Danio rerio: one gene and its partner. The protein of the gene in region 2 purifies or fractionates together with the protein of the main gene of each other region. This does not show direct contact. Links are inferred from orthologs where the notes say so. Each region holds a gene or a part of one and is shown on either strand. Other genes may lie near its edges.

Evidence for each region.
Region 1: the proteins of ublcp1 (region 2) and psmc1b purify together in Homo sapiens (affinity purification with mass spectrometry; 3 studies listed by BioGRID and IntAct, with this or other methods). This does not show direct contact. The link is inferred for Danio rerio from reciprocal best matches to the Homo sapiens genes UBLCP1 and PSMC1.

The regions. Positions count from the first base shown.
Region 1 is NC_133195.1:17,954,746-17,958,233, reverse strand, and holds part of psmc1b (proteasome 26S subunit, ATPase 1b), read right to left. Parts: intron 1,277-3,488; coding exon 1,125-1,276; intron 845-1,124; coding exon 690-844; intron 1-689.
Region 2 is NC_133196.1:39,013,861-39,017,620, reverse strand, and holds the start of ublcp1 (ubiquitin-like domain-containing CTD phosphatase 1), read left to right. Parts: upstream 1-1,211; 5' UTR 1,212-1,275; exon of another isoform or gene 1,276-1,509; intron 1,510-1,641; exon of another isoform or gene 1,642-1,725; intron 1,726-2,915; 5' UTR 2,916-2,928; coding exon 2,929-3,082; intron 3,083-3,760. UniProt on the Homo sapiens protein: Dephosphorylates 26S nuclear proteasomes, thereby decreasing their proteolytic activity. Recruited to the 19S regulatory particle of the 26S proteasome through its interaction with 19S component PSMD2/RPN1.

The sequences.
Region 1 (3,488 bases), on a different chromosome or scaffold from region 2:
AAGCTAAAAAATACCAGGAATTGTATGTAAACTTTTGACTGTCTAGAAATGAACAAACAATCTCAAAAAAAAAAAAAGTCTCATTATTCTGGCATTTAGCTAGTGTAAATCATTTAGGTAATCCTAACGGACCTAAAATAGTAAACATTTAGTATGATTTACCTTTTTTTTTTTTTAAATGGTTATGTTCCTTTTTTTAAGAGTGTATGTAAACTTCTGGTTTCAACTGTATATTTACCAAGGCAAAGACACATTTCTCCAAGACACATTACACCAAGGCAAAGACACATTTACCATAAAATTATCATGGAATATGAAAAATAAAAGCAACAAATTATTCAGTTCTGTAGTATTTATTGTTAGTATTTATAGTAATCATTCTAATAGCAATCATATTTCAATGATTGATGATTTCAAGCTACGAATATCACACATCGACAGATCAAAACCGAGATGTGATCACAAACTGAGCAGTTGCGTTTAATATACTTTATATTTATATTAAAATAATACTTATATAATACTTCTATATATATATATATAATATAGGCGTAGCAACAGTAACTAAGGAGGGCGGGGCTTAGCGAAGGGTCAAATGTATAACTGTTAAGAAAACGCCTATTGGGAAAAAGTGGAGTGTTCCCTTAACTTTTGGAACTGAATTGAACCACTAGTGAACATCAACAAACCTTAATATCGGCTCCTGAAAGGTCGTCTTTGGCCAGGATAAGGTCGTCCAAGCTCACGTCCTCGGCCACAGTCATTCTGCTGGTATGGATCTGGAAAATCCTCCTCTTGGTTTTCTCATCTGGTAAGGGGAACTCAATCTTACGGTCAATTCGACCTTAGAGAGAAAGCAGAGAGAAACGCAGCTTTAGGCACATCTACAATTCACATGAGCTCTAAAGGCTGGGACACACAAAGTCTATAGTCATTAGGTCATTAGGTCCATATGTCGAGTCTCATCAGGTTAACATTGGATCGAGTTCAATACGTCAAATTGGCATTAGTCATTGGATGAAAAGAGCACTCTGACTTGTTTTCAGCAACAAATCAGATTGTAAGTTTAAAAACAGAAGTGACATAGCCAGTGACTTCCGCTACATTTCTCAAATATGTCATACCGGGTCTAATAAGCGCAGGGTCGAGGGTCTCTATTCTGTTAGTGGCCATGATGACCTTCACGTCTCCACGCGAGTCGAAGCCATCCAGCTGATTGAGCAGCTCCAGCATCGTCCTCTGAATCTCACGTTCACCTCCTGAGTTTGAGTCGTATCTGCAAACACAGACGCAGTCAGGGAATGTCAATGACAAATATATCTATGCAGCATTGATATCGCTGAAATCACATCGCTTTTCCTGCAATCACATCAGAAAAAAAGAGGTTACCTCTTTCAATTTTTTTATGAATACTGTCCTCTGTGTTTTCACCTACTAATAGCACGTGAATTCATACTCCACTCTAATAATTTCACTTTATACAAAATTATTTGGGTAAAAAACACTGGAACTCTGAGACATGCAAATGTTTTGAATCTGCCTGTTTGAAAATATTTTGGTTGACAAAACAGAAAATAAATTGTGTCTAAAATGTAACTCAATACTGTCACTGAAAGTAAATGGGTCACAGGATGTTTAGTGTTGATTTTAGTGGAGCAGGCTCATGTAATCTGTGGAGTCACTGCAAAGTTTAACCATAATAGAGTGTTTGTTGATTATAAGATGATTATTTGCATGTGTTTTAAGAGAGGTTAATACATTGCCACACTCGAAACTATAATGTTTGTAAATTTGACAAAGATTAACTATATTACTCAATTAATGAAGACTATACAGTGTGATTTAACAACTGATTAGTCAAATGTTGTACCAGAATACTGTAATGCTGTGTTCACACCAGATGTGGAACGTGCGGATAAATCACGATATTCGCGGGTAAAAAGACGCATGAACATTTGAGTTTACTCGCCTCATTCGCGTGTCAAATCCGCTTCATTCATGTGTCAAATTCACTTTTAGTCTGCCTGGTGACTGTAGCTTTGTTGCTAAATGGCTAACATGAATTTTATTGAGAAAATTACTGTGTTTATGTGCTTTATAAATGCTGAAAAACAGCGTTAATTTGTTTGGAGCAGTGTTTGAGTCCACTAGATGCTTTCAGTGGTGCACCCAGCTCTGTGAGCTCATAAACTCCTCCAGAAACGTAGCCTGGATGATTTAGCGGTGCTTCTGACTGCGCTGAGCCCAGTTTGATGAACTGTTGTCGGAGTAGGCAGGAGGATTTTCCGCTGGGACACTAACAACAGGCACTATGTCATAATCACATCCCCATAAGAGCAAGCTCTTGATTGGTTAACGCGGCGGGAATGCCTGCTGAAGTTAAGATTTTCAAATCGAGCGATTCGCGCGTTAAGTGAGTCAAATTCGGAAAACGCTCAATTGGCTTCATGTGTATCGCATCATTCACGCCGCCCCATTGCGCCGCGCCATTTGCACGTATTATGCTGCATAATGTTTATTCGCGTCTTTGCCTTCTTCCGAGTCTGGTGTGAACGCAGCATTAGACTCCTCCAAAAAACAAGAAAGCTCTGTTGATTTTATGTTACTTTGCTTTATTGTATTTATCTATGCTTATAATTAGTTATATATTTAGATGTACTAGCATCAAGCATGCTAACAATATAATTCAATTGCTAAAATTTACTGAAATCCTTCCTTATTTGCACTTTACCTGCTATGTGTCCTTTGTGTCCTTAGTATTTTCCAGAGGTGTGGACTCGAGTCATGTGACTTGGACTCGAGTCAGACTCGAGTCATGATTTTGATGACTTCAGACTCGACTTGACAAAATATGAAAAGACTTGCAACTCGACTTGGACTTGAACATAAATGACTCGGACTTTCACTTGGACTTGCGCCTATTGACTTGTAAAGACTTGCTACTTTCTATAAAAAGCCCAAAGATAAAAAGTATGTTGACACGGAGCGCTCTATCTCTGTGTGTGTGCGTGTGTGACAGAGCGCTCTATCTCTGTGTGTGTGCGTGTGTGACAAGAGAGCATGCACGCATACTTTCGACCACTAGCGCTTTGTGGCGCACTTCCGTGTTTTTGCACCAGCGGGAAATTTGAAGATGCCATTTTCATTCTGACTCGGAGAGTGAAATAAACACATCCGCGATCTGCTTCTTTTGTTTTATTCAGCGGATTTACAACATCTGTCAAAGGTAAGAGACTTTACTACTCGCAATGTGTTACTGTTGTGCAAAAGCATTGTTTTACTGTTGTGCATAAGTCAATGAACTTCAGTTTTTTTAACCAAACTTACCCTCTCGTGATTTATTTCACATAATTATGAATGAACATGGCTGTAATTTATGTTTTTGCACTTGGTCGTTTGTGTCAATGCGCATATTATGTTTTATTTTTGTGTTTTGCCCATCCTCTGACAGTATTTTCTAACTATTTAATTAGTAGTAATAATAATTA
Region 2 (3,760 bases):
CTTTTTACTGTATTTGCACTATATTTTGGGGCAAGAAATGGTACCTGAGAAACTTTTACCTGTGTATGATTTTACAGTACTCTTTCCACCACTGTTTTGTGCCTTTGTCTTTTTGTACGTTTATCTTTTTTTTTTTTTTTTTTTTTTTTGGGGGGGGGGGGGGGGGGGGTCTTTTTTTGTGGGTTAATATAACAGCTTACAGTTGTATGTGATTCACCGGTTGTGTAATAGAGACATTGGCATATTTTTCTACTAATAAAATCTAGTCAACAAACACTTTTTTTCCTTTCTCTCTCCAAAAAGATAAAAAATAATAATAACAATTTTAAAGATGACTCACCACAATGCTCTTTTGTAATTTTAAATTTGATTCACTGGTATAAAATAACAATTGATAATTACAAGCTGGTTATATTGAAAATTAATGTAAATAATGAATTATTCTTATTTTTGTATACTTAAAGCGAGTTATTAGTATATAGTATATTATATGTATAAGGGGTGGTGTGTGTGTGGGGGGGGGGATTATTATTATTTGATTTCACTGTCTATTAGTCTTGCATCTGTTTTCATGAAAACAAGATATGCAGAATTGAAAACATTTTAGATACTCCTCAATTGTTGTTGTATTAGTATTGTTGTTTTTTTATGTACATTATTAACACTAATATCTTGTCACTGCTGTAACATTACATCATTGTAAGTTCTTTTCATGTGAGCCTACAGGACTACAAAACTTTTTTGTAACTACAATTTTAATATCTATTGATTTTTGACAATAAAAAATATCTATAATTTTGACTCAAATGTATTGTTGGCTATTCCTAGAAATACATCTGTGCAACTTAAGAAATAAAAAAAACTCATGAACCCAAAGCCGAGCACTATTCTGTTGCACACAAACTAAACAGAGTCATTTTGAAATTGGCTCCTTTAAATCAACAGTTTGAATGAACCGATTCACAGAGTCGGATGAGGAACTCGGTGACGCCGCTTACAATGAAACTAATAAAATCGATTTATTAAGTTGCACAAATTGTATATTCAGTTCAAAACACGACAAAAACAAAACCGCACCCTGTCAATGATAAGTACTTAGGAAAACAAAACAACTGCATTGAAGGAGAAATAAAAAAGTACTACACGACAAACTCTTAACCGGGAGGTGGCAGTAAGCACAGTAAACAGGCCGTCATAAACAGATAGAAGAAGAACAAAGCAAATCTTGTGGTACCCAAAGCAGTCAGCCTGAGCTTTGAATGAACTGCCTATTATGTAAGTGAGAAACCTTTCCCTATTCTTCTTCTCAGCGTGGTTTAGATTGTTTCAGGATTAAATGATTAGAGAAATTAACAGCGTCGTTACGACAGCTAGATCACACCCAATTAATGCATTAAGCATGCAAAATAACTTAATGAGTTCAAAAAGCTAAGTAGCTAATACATACATGCTTGTTCAAGCATCAACATTCCACATCCATCCATCAAGATCTCTAACAAAATATGTTCGGTAAAAACAAATAAATTATTTTATTTACACTTGTAGACAGAAAAGATTTGCAAATGTAATATTATACAGTCTACACAGTTGTTTATGAAAGGCTTTTAAATGAGGTTGTTTTTTTTGCTTTTTTTTGTATAGATATGTAGCACCTGACCCATTTGTCTTGTGTATTGACCACCAGTTGACCTCTACTGTTGCTTAAGTTGGTGTAGTGTTGCCAAGGTAGTCTATACATTTATTTTCATATATATATATATATATATATATATATATATATATATATATATATATATATATATATATATATATATATATATGTGTGTGTGTGTGTGTGTGTGTGAGTGTGAGTGTGTGTATTTATTATGTTTTAATACCATATCAGCAGCATTTATTATTAGGGCTGCACAATATATTGATTCATTCATCGATATCTCAATGTGCAAAACTAAAATAGTCCACATCCAAGGATCCCGAGCTATTTCAAGTGTATTTAAACCATTTAGACGCAAAAATGATAAAGTTTGCAACGTTAACAAGGATTAATTGTTTACTTATTTATACAATAAAGTCTATGCCATTTTATTTGATTATTGAATTTCTGTTATGCCACTTTTTACAAGATTTAAAATAAGTCTCTGATGTCCCTAGAGCAGGGGTCTCAAACTCAAATTGGTGGGGGGCTATTTCAGTGACTGACAATTCATAGGAGGGCCCTTTTAACATTCAAGTATAAGAAAAAAAAAGTGGAAACCTGACATAATTGATCTTAGGACAACAGACATGATGTTTATATTTCAAGCATACTAGTGATAATGCAAATCAGCACGTTTATCGTGTCACACATCAGCTGTTGAAATAAATCTGTGGTTGTTGTGTGTATGGCCGAGCATTAGAAACACACTCAGTCATTCTTACACAGAGTATATGCAGCCAAAGCTTTTTGTTACTTGTTGTGTATTGAAGGGGGAGTTTAAATTGCTACGAAAATACTACAAATAATTCTGTCTCAACCAATTGTATTGTACAATAGCGTAAGAACAGCAGAAAATAGTTTGGGTAACTTAAGTGACTTTACTGGCAATTGTTCTTTCAATAACTTTTTTTTTTTTTTTTTGTAAAACTACAACAGAGAGGGGAGAAGTATGTACATATTCACATTTACTTCAACAAGTTCAATTCAACCAGCAGTAAAATTTTAATAATGTACATAGTTTGTGTCCAAATCTCAATAAGCATGTAAGGAAAATCTGTTAAATGAGACCATTTGAACCAAATATTTGCAAAATTATCATACATTGCAATATAAATAATTCTGACTTCAACTGTATATATCGATGTATGTATTGTGCACAAGGGTGGTTTGTGGTTTATGACATGCTGACGTGCAAATAACTGAAAACTGTCCTTCACAGCTCGTCCACCAGCATGTCAGTTTCGGTTATTATCAAGTGGGGAGGGCAGGAGTACTCCATTAATACGCTGTCCGAGGAAGACACTGTGCTGGATCTGAAACAGTCCATTAAATCGCTCACAGGAGTCCTGCCAGAAAGACAAAAGCTCCTGGGGTTGAAACTGAAAGGTGAGTGCCACTGAAAACAGTAGCAATGTCTAATACCCATTAGGAAAATTCGAAAAGTGGAAACAAAATTAAAAAAAAAGATCTTGAGTCATCTTTACACAGAGATTCAAGGTAGCACTAAAGCAGGTCTGGGTCTGCTCGGAATTAAGTGTAAAGACTAGCGGAGCAAAAATACAGATTTTGGTTTGGTTTTCAGTTTTGGTATGCTTGGGTATATGATATGTTCAGTAAAAAACACTGTCAAATAGGTCATTATTTTACATAACATTGATATTGCAATAGCCACATTTCCACTGTCGGGCCAGTGCGACCCTGGGCTTTTATCAAGCCGGCCTATCGTCCGGGAGGTTGAGCAGTGAGGCCTAAATCATGTCGCGTTTCCACTGTCAGGCTAGTAGCTCGCAGCGCGTCATGTAACCGTCGCCCCCAGAACATCCCCCAAATCAAACGTCACACAACCCACCCACTTCAGCGGGAATAAGGCAGATAAAGCACACCATCACACATCATCACGAACTATTAAAATGAAGACAACCGAAACAAACAAATGACACGTTACTGTACAGCAGAACATTATATGTCTATACGCACATGCCTGTGTGTTCTCATTCATTATATTTATTTACTCGACGACCCACTATTGGCATCGAACATTGAGTGGTCTCCCCAGCACAGGGA